Rattus norvegicus: one gene and its partners. The protein of the gene in region 4 interacts with the protein of the main gene of each other region in a pairwise test. Links are inferred from orthologs where the notes say so. Each region holds a gene or a part of one and is shown on either strand. Other genes may lie near its edges.

The links.
Region 1: the proteins of Ap2m1 (region 4) and Dvl2 interact in a two-hybrid assay, tested with the Homo sapiens proteins (2 studies listed by BioGRID and IntAct). The two-hybrid records come from large-scale screens. The link is inferred for Rattus norvegicus from reciprocal best matches to the Homo sapiens genes AP2M1 and DVL2.
Region 2: the proteins of Ap2m1 (region 4) and Tgoln2 interact in a two-hybrid assay, tested with the Homo sapiens proteins (2 studies listed by BioGRID). The link is inferred for Rattus norvegicus from reciprocal best matches to the Homo sapiens genes AP2M1 and TGOLN2.
Region 3: the proteins of Ap2m1 (region 4) and Fxr2 interact in binary tests that used the Homo sapiens proteins (3 or more experiments, as listed by UniProt). The link is inferred for Rattus norvegicus from reciprocal best matches to the Homo sapiens genes AP2M1 and FXR2.

What each region holds. Positions count from the first base shown.
Region 1 is NC_086028.1:55,225,278-55,228,754, forward strand, and holds part of Dvl2 (segment polarity protein dishevelled homolog DVL-2), read left to right. Parts: intron 1-1,000; coding exon 1,001-1,070; intron 1,071-1,345; coding exon 1,346-1,491; intron 1,492-1,599; coding exon 1,600-1,709; intron 1,710-1,826; coding exon 1,827-1,962; intron 1,963-2,111; coding exon 2,112-2,202; intron 2,203-2,319; coding exon 2,320-2,389; intron 2,390-2,474; coding exon 2,475-2,614; intron 2,615-2,692; coding exon 2,693-2,769; intron 2,770-3,477.
Region 2 is NC_086022.1:106,226,406-106,230,703, forward strand, and holds the start of Tgoln2 (trans-Golgi network integral membrane protein TGN38 precursor), read right to left. Parts: upstream 2,858-4,298; 5' UTR 2,845-2,857; coding exon 2,799-2,844; intron 2,542-2,798; coding exon 1,604-2,541; intron 552-1,603; coding exon 468-551; coding exon of another isoform or gene 324-467; exon of another isoform or gene 1-323. UniProt on the Homo sapiens protein: May be involved in regulating membrane traffic to and from trans-Golgi network.
Region 3 is NC_086028.1:54,848,347-54,852,538, reverse strand, and holds the start of Fxr2 (RNA-binding protein FXR2), read right to left. Parts: upstream 2,871-4,192; 5' UTR 2,852-2,870; coding exon 2,771-2,851; intron 1-2,770. UniProt on the Homo sapiens protein: mRNA-binding protein that acts as a regulator of mRNAs translation and/or stability, and which is required for adult hippocampal neurogenesis. Specifically binds to AU-rich elements (AREs) in the 3'-UTR of target mRNAs.
Region 4 is NC_086029.1:93,865,661-93,870,039, reverse strand, and holds the start of Ap2m1 (AP-2 complex subunit mu), read left to right. Parts: upstream 1-1,559; 5' UTR 1,560-1,587; intron 1,588-3,842; 5' UTR 3,843-3,885; coding exon 3,886-3,959; intron 3,960-4,379.

The DNA of each region.
Region 1 (3,477 bases), on a different chromosome or scaffold from region 4:
GTACCCAGCAAAAGCCACACATTTGGGCAGGTTCTGGATGTGAATTAGAGAGAACTAAAATGCAGAGGAACAGCAGCAGATTACATGAGGACCAGAGGCTTTTATGGGACAGATGTGTAGGACAGAGACGGTTAGGCTGCCTGCCAGCCAGACTCCTAAGTTAGGTATCTGGAGCAGTTGTTGGGAACTGTCCCAGAGGGAATTTGGAGTGGTACTATGAGGTTTGGATCAAATGGGAAGAAGTCTTTTTAGCGGCACTGTGCCTCTACAGATGAGTGGGGGAGGAGGGGGTCTTGGGATAAAATAAGGAGAGTCTGGGATTACTTCACTGTAAAAGCAGAGGAGCCAGGCATGGTGAGGCATGCTAGCCATGCGGCATAGCTAGTTTTGGTGACATATGCCTTTAATACCAGGATGGAGAGGCAGAGGCAGGCAGATCTCTATGAGTTTGAGGCCAACCAGGGATACAGCTCGCTGGCTCTCTCTCTCTCTCTCTCTCTCTCTCTCTCTCTCTCTCAGGGATACAGCTCGCTGGCTCTCTCTCTCTCTCTCTCTCTCTCTCTCACACACACACACACACACACACACACTAACTCTGCTGTGCTTGGACTGGATGGAGATTGGGAGAGACTTGGAATGAGATTCGGAATGGGGGTGACCAGTTTAGCCTTACTAATCCCCTCTCCCTGTTTTTTGAGACAGGGTTTCTTTGTGGCGCCCTGGCTGTCCTGGTACTCTCTCTCTCTGTAAACTAGGCTGGCCTCAAACTCAGGTTACCTACTTCTTCTTCCAGAATGCTGAAATTAAAGGCACGTGCCACCACCATCCAGCTTCTGTGTGTGTGTGTGTGTGTGTGTGTGTGTGTGTGTGTGTGTGTGTGTGTGTGTGTGTGTAAAACCCTGGCTCACTGAGTGCCTCCTGCCTCGGCCTCCCATGTGTTAGAGTTGAAGGTGTACCCTATCACACCTGGCTCTTAGTAATGGCTCTTCTCTCTCTGCAGGGTGGTGAAGGAAGAGATCTCTGACGACAGTGCCCGCCTACCTTGCTTCAATGGAAGGGTTGTCTCCTGGGTAAGGGACTCGTTACCAAGCTGCTTCCAACCTCAGTCTATCTCGGCACACCCCACACACCCCCACCCCCGCATGCTCAGTCACTGGTGGCCCTGGCTTCCCTCTTTTCTACTTGTGGATGCAGTGAGCATTCCTCAGCCTTTTCTTCCTGTAGCCTCGCATACTGGCCCAGGTCTCTGGGACCCTGTTCCCTTTCTTTCTGGTCCTCTTCCTTTACTCTTTTCTCGTAAAGCACTTCCCAGTGGAGCCATGTTTTCTCACTTACACTCCCCTAGCTGGTGTCATCAGAGAGCCCCCAGCCTGAGACAGCGCCCCCTGCCCATGAGTCTCGGACAGAACTGGTTCCTCCACCTCCACCATTACCCCCTTTGCCACCAGAAAGGACCAGTGGCATTGGGGACTCAAGGCCTCCATCCTTCCAGTGAGTCTTTTACGGTTTTGAATCCAGGGGAGGGGAGCGAAGAGGGGAGACTGAGGATCCGGTGCTCTGTCCTTCTGACTTTGGTTGAAACTCTCTCTACCTGTGTAGCCCTAATGTATCCAGTAGCCATGAAAATCTAGAGCCTGAGACAGAAACTGAATCCGTCGTATCACTGAGACGAGACCGACCTAGGAGGAGAGACAGCAGTGAGCATGGCGGTGAGGGGTCAGGCCCTGGAGGCAGGGTAGACTGTGAGCTGGGCAGGGAGGCAAGCCTCAGCATGCCGAGCATGAAGAATGGGAGGCCTGGCTCCTGACACGTTTGTTTATACACAGCTGGTGGCCACAGGCCTGGCGTCCCCTCAAGGCTGGAGCGCCACCTGGCTGGGTATGAGAGCTCTTCCACCCTCATGACCAGCGAACTGGAAAGTACCAGCTTAGGAGATTCAGATGAGGATGACAGCATGAGTAGGTATGGCTTCACACATCTCTCCTCTGCCCGCCCTCGCCCGAGGCGCTCGCCCCTTGTCCTCCCTCCTTCCTAGCCAATCTTCTTGTTTCCTGTGACTCCCTGACCACTTCCACCCCCAAATGCTCTGCTTCTCTCTCAATTGCTATCAGGTTCAGCAGCTCCACTGAGCAGAGCAGTGCCTCCCGCCTCCTCAAGCGCCACCGAAGGCGAAGGAAGCAGCGGCCGCCACGCATGGAGAGGGTGAGGGTTCTTTTGGGAGAAGTAGGCTTTACTTTAGCTGGCCCTCTGACACAGGCTTGTGGCTTATGTCTCTGTTGATGGGGAGCAGTTCACATCTTCCCTGTCTTCTTTCTGCAGACCTCATCCTTCAGCAGTGTCACAGATTCTACAATGTCTCTCAACATCATCACAGTCACACTCAACATGGGTATGGAGGGTCCTGATGGCAGATGGGAAGGAGAGGGTCTCAGGGTTTCTGGGGCTCAGTCCCCTCATATGGCCTCCCTCCACAGAGAAATACAACTTCCTGGGTATCTCCATTGTGGGCCAAAGTAACGAGCGTGGTGACGGAGGCATCTATATAGGCTCCATCATGAAAGGGGGAGCGGTGGCTGCAGATGGGCGGATCGAGCCTGGAGACATGCTTTTGCAGGTGTGTTGACTGGCAGCTGGCTTGGGCAGAGGCTCTGCCTGTTGCACACTGCCTGTGACCCACTGCCCTTCCTTGCAGGTAAACGACATGAACTTTGAGAACATGAGCAATGACGATGCTGTGCGGGTGCTGAGAGACATTGTACACAAGCCAGGGTAAGTCTGTGCTGCGTCTGCTCCTTAGGCCTCGACATTGTACACAGACTATGTTACTCCAGGCAGAGTTGGGCTTTCTAAGCTTGGGACAGCCTGATTTACATAGTGAGTTCCAGACCAGCTAGGTCTACATAGTGGAGAAAAAAAACAACAAAAAACCAGTGCTATAGAGATGGCTCAGGGGTTAAGAGCACTGACTGCTTTTCTAAAGGTCTTAAGATCAAATCCCAGCAACCACATGGTGGTTCACAACCATCTGTAATGGGATCTGATGCCCTCTTCTGATGTGTGTGAAGATAGCTATAGTGTACTCGTATACATAAGATAAATAAGTCTTTAAAAACAAAACAAAAAACCTCCCAAAATTGCAAATCTCGATGGCATGTCACTTCAAACTAAAGCATGAAACAGGTGTGGGTGAGTACCTCAGAAAAGGCCACCCACTGTGTGCTCCTTTCCACTCCCACCCTCCTCACTGACGGTAATTACCGTCTTGGCTTCTTTGGTCAAGAAAACCTTTAATGGTTTTCCACCCATGCCTGAGTCCTGGAACAAGATGGTGTGGTGTTACCTGTTTGAGGCTTCCTGTGAATGAGCTGTACAGCGTGTGCTCCATTGTTTCACGCAGCAGTGTCTTTAACTTCTGAGTGTAGGTGAGTCATCCACACTGTGGAGGCCTTCACCCTCACACTCTCAAGCCCAGTTGTG
Region 2 (4,298 bases), on a different chromosome or scaffold from region 4:
GGGGAGTTGTGATCCAGGGCTTTGTTGCCCAAAGTGTGGTCTGGCAGCCAGTGGGGATCCCCACAAAATGAGGATGGATAGGTTCTCTCCCATACTCAGTAAATCAGATTTGGCTTTGATCACATTGTTCAGTGTTTATCACAGTATTTGTCTGTCAAGAGCTGAAATAGTGAAGAAAGTGTTTAAAAGTATACAGAGTTACTATCAGGTGCTAGTATTTCCTCTGAGTGGAAACTCAGAAAGAAAACAAACAAACAAAATCACACTTCCAGGTAGATCTGTTTATCTGTCAAATGTGAAAGGACTGAAAGCCCTCTCTATCTCTACCTTTGTAGATAGATACACATGCAGTGTGCGGACGGTCCTACTTGCAGTCTCCAAGGGCTAGGAGCAATGGCTGCGGCAACCCCAGAACTGGCCCACTGGAGGCTGCATATCCCTCCTACATTGGGTTTCTCCTTCCTTACCTTTAGGTTCAAACGTTGGTAGTCACTGGCCTTTGGCCTCCGAGTGACTTTGGATCTTTTTCCTTCCAGGGCAAAAGCAATAATCTGAGGGAAGGACAAAGAAAACAGATTAACATTTGACTCTGTAATGAGGGACTTCACTTCCTGAAATCAGAAGCAGTTACCTAGATCCACAAAGAGGACTATTTAAATTACACACACACACCCAAGATTTTAAAGGGGGCTTGGTTACAACAAAATCCTTTATACTGCTTAATAGGGCCCAAGAGATGGAGGCTGAAGCCTGTGGAAATCTGTATGATTTAATTATGGGAGTTAGAGGTCTGCCAGTTCTCTTGCCAGAGAGTTCTAGGTCAGGTGTTTAAGGGGGAAAAATAATGACGGTTTCCTAGCTACAAACACATGCTTTGCTCCCACACAGTTTCAACTTTTCTCTAATTTACTGCTTTCATCATGAACGTTTAAATGTACAACGAAGAATGTAGACTCTTCATTCTTTAGAGCCATATGCCCAATGGCTATCACCAACTGAATTCTTCAATAAGTCAAGCTACTGAAACTGTCTTCTAAATCTCATGGCTCATTAAGAAATACAATAATTTTGTCATTAGAGTTGTTTGTAAGGTTGTTTCATGGGTGGCACTTTAACCCCAAAGTTGGGTGCATTTATGCAATCTCTAGGCTTGCTTCTGACTCTTGGTAGCAGAAGAGTCATTCTTGGGCTTTATACTACTGGTGTTAGAGACTATGTAACTGAAAATATTCTTCCTGCCTCCAGATGGAAGACAGTTGGAATAAAAGCTAGAAATGGTAAACTATCTCAAGCATGGAAAAGGGGAAGAAATCTACCTGTCAAGAACTTGGGTTCACAGAGGCTGTGAATAATCTGAGTTCCAAGTTACAGGAGGGGAATCACAATTAGGTCAGGTCAAGATTCACGTCCAACTTGGCACTTTACAGCAGAACTCTGAGGAAACGGGTCACATGATTTACAAAACAAAACCCAGAGTCCTAGCAAGGTCTAAGGAAAAACCGAAGATGATCTTAAAATCCTCTGAGCTCACAGGCAGATGAGTGACAGATAGCTGCCCATGTACAAAGAACTCAGGGTTCTGGACATTCCAGTCCCCTCTTACCTTTCGTTTGTTGTGGTAAGCAATATAGAGGACAGCAACAAGAACAGCAGCGGTCACCAGATAAGCAAAGAAGTGGCTGCTTTCTGCACTGGTGTTTCCAGAATTGTCCTTATAATGGTCATCCTTCTCATCCTTCATAGAATCTGTAAGTGTCCCCTCTTGGTTCTCACTGGAGGAAGGGCCCAACACCTTTTCATTCTCTTCTTCAAGTGGTGAACCTTCTTCGGGCTCTGTATCACCCTCTTCAATCTCCTTGGTTTCCACATCTTCAGTAGGCTCTGAAGACTTATCTCCTTTCTCTGGCTTTAAAGAGAAGTCAGAGTCCCCTGCCAGTTTTTCCCCAGATTCAGTTTTGGAAATAAGTGTTGGTTTCTGTCCTTTTTCAGTTAGCTGGACTTTGTCAATTTTTGGAGTCTCTGTATTGGAGGGGACTTTGGAGGTGGGCTTGTTAGAATCACCTCCTGTGGGCTTGTCATTATCACTTCCTGTGGGCTTGTTAGAATCACCTCCTGATGTCTTGTCAGAATCAACTCCTGTGGTCTTGTTAGAATCACCTCCTGTGGTATTGTCGGAATCACCTCCTGTGGGGCTGCCTGAATCTTTTGTAAACTTCTGACCTGACTTTTCCTGTTTGGGGTCCACAGGCAAAAGCTGCTGCAAAGTTTCCTTCAATTTGGCATCTGCTGTTTCGGGGTGCTTTTTGGAATCATCCAAATTGAGATTGGTCGCAGATTCCACCCCACTGGAAACTGATGCCGAAGTCCTAGCCACCGTCTTGTCCTGGCCTTCTTTATCCGACTCCAGCCTCTGATCAGTCGGTCTGTTAGTCTTTACCTGTTGAGAAATATCAACCCCAGGAGGCAGGGGCGTGGAAGGTTGAATCGGAGGATTATTTTCACTTGATGTGTTGTTTGGCTTAGAAGCGGATGGCAGAGCTCCTGAAACAGAAAAAGCAGTAAGTCCACGTTAAAAAAAAAAAAAAAAAAAAAAAAAAAAAAAAAAAAAAAAGGCCGGGAGAAAAGAAGGGCTTGACTTCTAAGACCCTAGCGGTGATGGCCGAATGGAAGAGCAGTGGAGATTGCTAGAGGAGGGTCGGGTCAGGCGAGAAAGACGACAGCTCCCGTGGCGACCCACCAAGGTGAAGAATGGGGAACCTAAGGGAGAGAATGACAAGGGCTTGGGGGGGTATCCTTACTCGCCACCGCGACACTCAGCAGGAGCAACGCAACCAGGAACTGCATCCTGTAGTCTGCGCTTCCGCCCTCTACTGACGTGAGAGGGGCGCAAGGTATTTCCAGAGCGTGCCCCCCCCCTTTCCGGCGGACTGTTTCTCTTCCGGCGCAACCCCGCCTTGGGGGTGGGGTTACTGGGTGTCGCCAGTCAGTGACTGTATATTCCGATAGTGTGCCGGAAATCAAGTCCAGCTCCCCCCCCCGCCCCGCCCCGGCCTGCCCCCCAGCTCCCCTCTCTATTTCAGCAGTCTGGGGAGCTCGGCAGTCTCTTTCTTGTTCCCTTGGCCTCGTACTTCAGAAACTGTCCGACAGGCAGGTGCTGCGTCGCCTCTCGCTGCTTATGATGTGGGGTCGGGGCCGGGAGCCTCTTTGTCGCATCCTCTGTTCATGTTTCTAACCTCACCGTTGCTGGTAGTGCTTTTCTCACTTAACACAAAAATGTACTCTGTTCAGCTCTTTCCCATCTAGAAACAAATACATTTCATCCTGATCCCAATCCCTTTTCTTGGCGGTACCCAGGGCCCTCTGTATTTACCAACGTTTTTTTTTTTTTTTTCTCTCCCCTGAATTTCTATGTGTTTGAAACTATATTGTTATGTGGGCAGCCCCTGCCTCCTGAGTGTTTGGGATTATAGGCGCCTCGCCACGCCCCTATTGAGCTATTTATTTATTTAAGAAATCAGATATCAAAGATTGATTTTTATTTGTGTACGTGTGCCCGCCACCTGTGTGCAGGTGCTTTTGGAGCTAGATGAGGACATCGGATCCCGTAGAGCTTCAGGCGTTTCGAACAATCTATGTGGTGTTGGAAACTGAACTCTGCTCCTGTGGGAGAGCAGCAAGTCCTGAGCCATCTCTCCAGTTCAGGACATGAGGTGCTTTGTTGCCCAAACAAGAAGACCTTGAATTTCTGATCTTCCTACTGGATTACTGGCTTGTATCTCCAATTTATGTAGTACTTGAGATCAAAATTGTGACTCTGTGCACACTAGACAAGCACTCTGCCTCGCTCAACACAACAATGTGTGTGTGTGTGTGTGTGTGTGTGTGTGTGTGTGTGTGTTCTTTTTGGGACAGGGTTCTTATGTTTAACACCTCTGCTGTCCTAGAACTCACCCTGTATTCCATGCTATCCTTGCACTCCCGGAGATCCACCTGTCTCTGCCCACTGAGTGCTGGGATTAAAGACATGCACCACCACACCTGGCTCAAGCAACACATTTAAAAGCAGAATTTTAAAATAACTATACCTTTTTTTTTTTTTTTAAAAGAGAGCCAGGTGATGGTGGGACACACCATTAATCCCAGCACTCAGGAGGCAGAGGCAGGCAGATGTCTGAATTTGAGGTCAGCCTGATCTACAGAGTGAGTTCCAGGACAGCCAGGGTTACACAGAGACACCCTGTATTGAACAACAACCATAAAAGACATCTTTAGGGTCTAGAGAGATGGTTCAGTGGTTA
Region 3 (4,192 bases), on a different chromosome or scaffold from region 4:
CTTAGACCTCAGATCTGGTATCTATAGGCCCTAGGAAAAAAATCAAAGTAAAACACAGTTTTTTGAAAGGAGAAAGGGATCTCCCCAAACTTAAAAAGATCTAAAAGACAGTTAATACTCCCTTACTCACATCAAAGTTTGCTGAGTCATGAATATTAATCAACTTGGAATACGCAAGTATCTACAGTGTACACTGAGTTTAAAAAGGATTAGTCTAATTTTAGGGAATTGCCTTTTACTCAGTCATGGAGCAGAAAGTGAAGTGGCCAGAACACAAAATCTATGTTATTTGGCTTTTATTCAACTGTTAACTCTATACTATCAAAGAATCCTGTCTCTGCTTCACTCAAATCTATCACTGCTATGGCCCATAGGCCCATAGGATAAAATGACAAAAGTCAAAAGAGACTTTCTGTTTGCTACCCATATGTGTAACAGAAAACATGTCCCTTTGCAACCACTTCATACAGTTAATTTGAACTGAGCACTGATCTGTCCCATGTCCCAGCTGCGCATGGCTTCCATGCTTCCTTAAACCAAAAGCAAATATCTTATCTTGATCTCACACTCAATTGAAGAATCACTTTTCAAACTAGGAGTGGTTGTGGATGCTGCTTTTAATCCCAGCACTCAACAAAGGCAAACCTATCTCAGTGAGTTTGAGTTCAGGGCAGCCAAAGCTACAAAGAGAAATCCTGTCCCCAAAAATCAAAGCAAAGAAAAAAAAAAAAAAAAAAAAAGGAAAAGAAAAATATGATATAGATATATATATAGATATATATATACATATCTCACTTTTCTTGGAATTTAACATTTTGGGGTGAGAAAGATACAGATGAAGGCTAACATATCAAGAAAAATAGAACTAACAACTTATAGAGTACTTTTTGGTTTTGTTTGGGTTGTTTTTTCAGTCTGATTTCATTCTCCACACTAGTTTTGAACTTCAACAATCCTACTTCAGTCTTCCAAGTCCTAGGATTAGAGTAGGCACCACCATACCCAGCCTGAGGACACTTTTAACAAAGGTAATACAAATGTGGGGGAAAGGAGCCCCAGAGCCCCATCAGAGCCCAAAAGGAATTAAGAGACTTTTGCTACAGAAAACAGAAATGTTACAAAGACATTCTTCTAGTAAGAAAAAAAGTACCAAGAGTTAGGAAAGTGACAGGGAACCTTCTTCAGCTATACAAAGGATAGATAGGTGGACCTCAATGAGGATCCACAGGAGTACAAAAGTACCAAGACTTAATTGAGAGGCTAAATTAAAGCTAGGAGATATGTGTACCCATAGGCACTGGGTGAAGAACGTGATCAGAAAAGGGGAAATTGCCATGGCCTTCACAGTGGGTAACTAACGGGTCAGTTGAAGTGGGGGTAGGAAACACCTACAGAGGCGGGGCAGACCCGTCCCTTTTCAGCTACAAAAAGATACAATTTCATAGTAGTCAAAGTTATTTCCAAGGGCATGAGAAAGTAGAAAGTTCTACTAGGGTAGGGGGACAGACAACCAGAAGAAACATGAAGGAAAAAGGAATCTCATCTCCCATCTAATGCTATGAAAATTCTTCTTCTCCAGAATGAAAGGAGTAAGAGAGGAACCAAAATTTCCAGGACAATTCCATCCAAAAAAATGCAGAAGAGGTTCAGAACCCCACAAGATCAGATGAAGAAAATACCTGAGGGGTGAGAAGAATCAGTCTGAATCTAAATTAGGGGTGAAGGGGATCCAGAATGGACTCAGATACAGAAGATGGGGTGGATAATGGATAGAAAGAAAAAACAAAAGTTCTGGTCTGGCATGGTGGCTCAATCTATAATCCCAGAACTGTAACCCTAGGCTGAGGAAGGAGTACAGAAGAGTTCAAGTCCAGCCAGGGAATCTTGTCCCAACCACACCCCTCAAAAAAGTTCACAGGAATCAAATCTTGGACAAAGAAAAAGCTGAAATAAGCAATTCTGAAAGCTACTTTTTTCTTTCCAAAAAGACTGTCAACAAGCAGAAATCAGAAGAACAGAAGCATGTGGAGATGGCCTTTTAGAGATGGTGAGGCTTAAACTTACCAAGAAGATATAGGAATGACCTAAATACATCTAGAGTCAAAGAGATAAAACACGAATCCATCCCTGGAGAGCTGGCTTTGGTATAAAGGTGTGGTAGGTGACAGACTTGTCCAACAAATCCACTAAATGGCTGGCTGGCTGGCTGATAAAACCTGAGGCCAAAGATGCTAAAGTAACAAATGGGTTCTGACCATTTCTTGTCAGACTGGGAACAGGAATGTAAGATGAAAGTTGAGCAAATGGTTCTAGAGCCAGTAGGCAAAGAAGCCTCCCTGAAGACCGAAGACCTAATATGGCACAGTGGACCTTCACAAGGGGGTCATGTAGGAAAAGAAAGGGAATCCTCCATGTGCTTGGCTGTAGGGGAGATGTGATTAAAAGCTGAAGTATCTCCTACACTAAAAAACAAGAAAAGTCGATTAGAAGCTAAGAAAAGGGGTTTCTCCAGGGTTCCCATCCACGCATAGTAATGACCTGATGTTCATGCCTTCAGCTGAGGATAAAAGCAGGTGTAATAGCGGGCTCAAAAATAAAAGCACGAGGGTTAACTCCCACGATCTCCCCGGGAGGGTTTCGAGTGGGAACGTGGGTCGAAGGTTCGAAGGGTCAGGACTAAGCTCCAGAAACTCGATCCCGCTGCACTCTTCCCTGCCTCGGCTGGGGGAGGGGGCTAAGGAGTGTGTCCCGGGTCGACGCGCCGTCTCACCTTGTAGAAGGCCCCGTTGGAGCCCCGCACCTCGACGGGCAGTCCCGGCTCCACATCCCCCCCAGAGGCCAGGCCGCCCATGGCGCCGCCACCACCTCCGACTGCCCCGGCAGCAGCTGAAACAGAGCCCTGAGTGCGGGCCGGGCCGGGCCCCCGGCGTCTCCCAGGAGGAGGAGCCGGAGGGGGAGCCGCGGGGGGCGGGAGCCGGGCCGGCCCCACGGCGGCCCTGCTACAGCCGACGAGCAGGGGGCCGGGGCCGGGCCGCTCCCCGTCCGCCGCCGCCGCTGCCTTGGTCTCCGCCACCGTGAGGGAAACGGCCGCCGCCGCCGCCGCCTTCGTCACCTCAGCTTCCGCCCGCCGGCGCCCCCGCTGCTGCCTCAGTCCCGGGACCCGCTGCTGCCGCTGCCGCTCCACGGCCTCCACCTCCCCCTGCCGCCGCCGCCTACTGCGCAGGCGCACAGGGCACCCGCCCGCCGCGCGCGGAGCCGGAGGGCCAAGGCGCAGGCGTCTAGGCTAGCGACCTAGCTCCCGCTCGCCAGCGCGTCAGGGCTTCCACATTCTCTTGCACTCTCTCACGCCCCCTCCTGGTCGCGTCTCTGCGCTTGCGCAGAACGAGATGAGCGCTCTATCTGTACCGCTCCAACCTTCCACTGTCCCTGTCCCTTCCTTTCCCCGCCCCACAACACTGGAAGCAAACCAATCAAGGGAAGAGAGGGGCCGCGCTCGCTCCGTCGGATTGGACTTCCGCCTCCACAAAGTGAGCCCCCATGGAGCCTGGGCAATTTAGGGATGGGCATGCGCCGGAATGACTGCTTGGTCACTTTCACCACCTTTGTCTTTCTCGGTGCGCACACTCCAAAGGGGGGCTGGGAGGGTTGGGACCGAAAGGAAAAAAACTGCCCAGTGCGCAGGCGCTGGGCTTTGGTGTCCATGCGCATGTGTTGACTCTCTGCATCCGTAGGAGAATCAAGAGTCACGGTTCTTGGCTTGAGTAGATTTTTTTTTTTTTAAGTTTTGTGAGACAGGGTCTCCTGTATCCTAGGCTGACCGTGTAGTGCGGGAATGACCTTGAATTCCTGATCCTCCAACCTTCGCCTCCCAAGTGCAAAAATTACAGGCATGTCATTTCCATGCTTGCCCTAAGTTGATTCTAATATTCTAGTAAACTCAATGCCCTGTGAAAAACAAAGTGCCACATAACCTGATACATAAATGCTGAGGAGATTCAAAACAGGAAAAATTGTCACAGAGTAACTAAAACATCCTGGCCTGGAAAGATGGCTCAACTATCAACCTTAACAACTGGAGTTGTATTCCTAGACCCACAAGATGGAAGGAGATATCCCCCACCTCCTGCAAGTTGTCTCCTGACCATCACACATATGACATCATTCATGGTCACCCACACATATAACAGAATTT
Region 4 (4,379 bases):
CCAGCTCTATCATTTTTGATTGTGTAATAGAGTTATTTAACCTCTCTGGAGCCTCAGTCCTCCCATATGTAAAATGATGATAATAATACCTACCTCACAGGGTTGTTGTGAGGATTTAAATTAGATATTGTACGAAAAGTGCCTAGCACAGTGCCTGGCACATAATAGAGTAGGTGCTCAATAAATGGTAGCTATTATTATTACTATTTCTATTTCTATGTTGTTGTTGTTGTTATCACTAATTTACTCTAAACTTTTAGGGTATGTTGGGAAGAGAAAGCTTTTGTGAAGATAGACATGAAGCCTTCAAAGGTTACAAGTTTCTGGGTTTTGGCTTCTGGAAGGAGGTTGCTAGGAATAGTAGGGTTAGCAACCAGATTTGAACACCCACCCCTTCCTTTCTGCCATAGAAGTCTCTGGCCTGTTTAGGCAACAGATGTCTCTGTCCACTGAGAGAAAAACCAACTTTTCTAGATTTGGCAAAAATCAGACAGCCGTTTGTGTTCGGGTTGGTTCTGCCTCATTCTCAGTTTGGATATCATAAGAAATCTTTTTTTTTTTTTTTTAAGGTTGAGACAGGGTTTCTCTGTATATCCCTGGCTGTCCTAGAACTCGATCTATAGACCAGGCTGGCCTTGAATTCAGAGATCTGCCTGCCTCTGCCTCTGCCTCTGCCTCCTGAGTGCTGAGATTAAAAGCATGTGCCACCACTGCCCAGATGAGAAATGGGATTTTAAAATCCCATGCCCAACTAAACTGGAGTGGTGGACAAACAGGCTCCCTTTTGTAGCCTGGGATGTCTTGAAACTCCCTATTTAGACCAGGCTGGCCTCAAATTCACAGAGATGCTCTTGCCTCTGCCTTCAGAGCTCTGGAATTAACGGCATATGTCACCAGCACACCACAGTCACAGATTTTGCTGAGAAAAACACTAATGTTTTACCAAGAATTAGTGCTTTCCTTCCCAGCCTTTCTGTTTGGATAATTATCCCTGAGAAAGGGCTCAGTCCTATCCTGGAATATATATAAAACCTCGGGAGAATCAAATGTGTTAAAAAGCAATAAATTCAGCAGTAACGGGCTTATGCAAGTTGTGTTTGTAAAGTGAATATAGCCACTCTTCGAAATCTGGAGACAATAAAAATCTAATAATTCAAAATTTACAATTGGTTTCAACAAACAGCTTTGGTCTCTTAAAGCCTACCTCCTCTAACTAGGAACGAGAAGGATTACAGAGACTACACTTCCCGTGATTCTCAGTGAAGCAAATAGTCTGTGGAGCGTACCATGACCCGTGTTGCCAGCAAGACGCACTGAGGCCGACGTCGACTCTGTCTCGAAGGCTGTCGGTAGTTGTAGTTTTGCTAGACTTAGGGCACTCGGATGTGTCAGCTTGAAAGCTTCGGAGACTGACGGGACTTGTAGTCGCCGCTGGAGGTGAGCGCGCAGGCGCAGCTGCGGGCGGGGCGGGGCGGGGCGGGAGCACTGCAGTGAAAGCGGAGGCAGCAGACAGGCGAGCTGGGGGCGGGCGGACATCTTGGGATCCGAGAGTGGCCAGGCCTGCCTTGTGGGGGCTGCTGACTCCAGGTGAGCTGGGAAGCTTGACTTAGAGATCCTTACCGGGCGGCGAGGGTGCCGTGGTCACCTGCCCTGCCCCGCACTGTGCTGGGTGGAAAACTGCCCGCACCCGGGAGTGGCCTCAGCCTCCAGACCCGGGAGGGAGCAGACGACCGGGCGGGGGTGCCTTGGGCGCGATTGCAGCAAGGGCGGGGAACGACGCCCTCCAGTAACCCGCTGGGCGTCTCCGGGAGGAGACTCGGGCCGGAATCCTAGAGCCGGGGACCCCGCGCGGCGCCCCATCCCTAGAATCCTGACAACCGCTCAACCCCGAGGTTTCCCATTCTCCCATCCCCCAGGACATTGACATCCCCTGGTGCCACTCCCTTGGACAGTGACAGGTCTCTCTGGAACACTGAGAGATTCCTTCCTCCTGGTTTACCCCCCACTGCTCTTCTACCTCAGACCTATGACAGCCCCCGCATCCCTTGGTGACATCTCCTCGGCCTAGATGTCTCCCCCCTCTGCTGAGAAAAACTCCACCAACCCCTCATGCTTCACTAAAAGAAGAGTAGGCCCTATCTCTCAGCTTTCTCTTTTTCTACTGTCTATCTTTTCGCCTTGTTTTGCTCCTCCAAAGCTCCTATGACCTTTGTCATAGGAGAACTTGAGGGACTCCCACAGCTGTATTTGCTGCTGTGGGGTCATCCTGGTCTATTGCTAGCAATTACAGCTAATCGGTCCCTTAACTAAATATTCCATTTCTGTCCAGGACACAACACACACACACACACACACACACACACACACACACACACACACACACCACAACCACAGCCACCTCCACCTCCACCACCACTCCCACCCTCGGCTGATACCTGTGGACTTGGTCCTTTGCTCAGGGGACAACCTCCATTTTGCATTTTCTTTCTCACCTTCTTTGAACTGTGAGACAAGTGTGTCCACTACCTTAGTTGACTTGTGACTGGGTTTCAAGGGTTAACTTTTCAGTTTCAGAAAGTCTTGTTAGACTAACATCAGTGAAATTAATACCAGGGTTAATCCAGAAAAATCTAGAACCAGATTAACCTATTTTCTTAAATATTCTAAATTAATTTTGACCCAAATGAATTTGGGCAGTTGAGACATTCTGTTACCTTGCCCATTGCTTAGTAAACACCAGGCCAGAAGTGACTGACTTGGCAGCTCTGGAGTCACAATTTAGCAGGATTAATGCTACATACAGACCTAATTTTTGTCACATTTTGAAATTTTGATAAGACAGTGACCAGAAATAATTGTAAAGGGGGCTCAAAAAGAAAGAAAGAAAGAAAGAAAGAAAGAAAGAAAGAAAGAAAGAAAGAAAGAAAAGAAAGGAAAGAGGGACTTGGCATTTCAGAGTCCTTACTGTTCTTCCAGAAGACCTGAGTTCAGGTCTCAGCCCATGTCGTTTGGTTCAGTACTGCCTGTAACTCAGGCTTGTGGGATGGAGGGCAGGGCTCCACCTGACGTCTAGACTTCCACACACACAGCACACACATTGGCATACCTATGTGAAGGTAAAAATGAAATCTTTCTAAGAAGAACTTGGGAGCATTGGAGCGTGGTTTGTTCGCCCTGGGCCTCTCTGTTCCTTTGCCTGCTTATCTCACTGCCTGGGGAAGACGAGCCTGCTTCAGCCACATTCCTGGGTTTGTGTTAGAGCCTAAGGGCCTCTTCTCCCACCCCCACCTCACTCTGCACACCCTTTCCTGGAATGTGTAGCCTTGTAGACGGTCATGCTCTGCTGCCTTCTTGGAAGAATAGTGCTTGCTCTAAAAGTTATGCCTGGTGGCGGGCACAAGCTAACTCCTACCGCCTAATCCCTACCGCCATTCCTGCATCCGCGGGCAAGCTTTTCTCTGACTCACTGAAGTTGCGGGGAGTGAGAGTCTGCACAGCAGGGGTTTGAAAAGAATCTTAGCTGAGCTCAGCATTGTGAAGACGACGGGGAGGGGTGCGAGTGGGGGTGGGGGGGTGGTTACTTTCAAGCTCAGCCCTCAGAAAAGACTGAGTAAAATGGCCTTAACCCTGGGCCCCACACTTAAAGTACTGTCTCCTATCCAGTGTGGAATAAACAGGAACTGGAGCCTCGCTGTGCGTGCAGGCGGGGCTTCCTTGGGAGGGCTGCAGGGTCACTTGCTAGAGGACTGAGTCAGGAAAAAAGGCAGCCCTGTACAGCCCCGCTGAGATGGGCAAGGGATCTAAAGATTTCCCCATTCCCTATCCCCACCTTTCCTACCTAGGTCTGTTCTCAGAGCAATGGGTCACAGAGACTGAGCTGCCGCCATGATCGGAGGCTTATTCATCTATAATCACAAGGGGGAGGTGCTTATCTCCCGAGTCTACAGAGATGACATCGGGTAAGTCCCCTGCCTGAGCACGCTGTGCCCCAGCCCCCCCATCGCCTCAGCCTGAGCATGCAATATAGCCTGGTTCCATTGGGCATCGGCCCAGCTGCTAGGCTCAGGGCCTGGGGATGACACCTCCACCCCCTAGGGTTAGGAACTCCTGCCCTTCCTGCTCCCTGTAGGTCTGGTCTGGTGGCTGAAGATGAGTGCTTTTGCCTGGTCAGGTTGATTCTTCCTTTCAGGAGGGAGCACTATCTCCTGTGGGTGTGGTTAGTGTGTGCTCGGTGGTACTAATCCATCTAAATCTTGCTTTCAAATCCTTCTCATACTGAGAGCCTTCCCTAGATCCCCTTAAAACCCCTCTCTAGTCTGTTGACTCAGCTGTTTTCTGTTCTTCTGGACCCTCCCTGGTTGTGAACAGGCTGCGCTCTG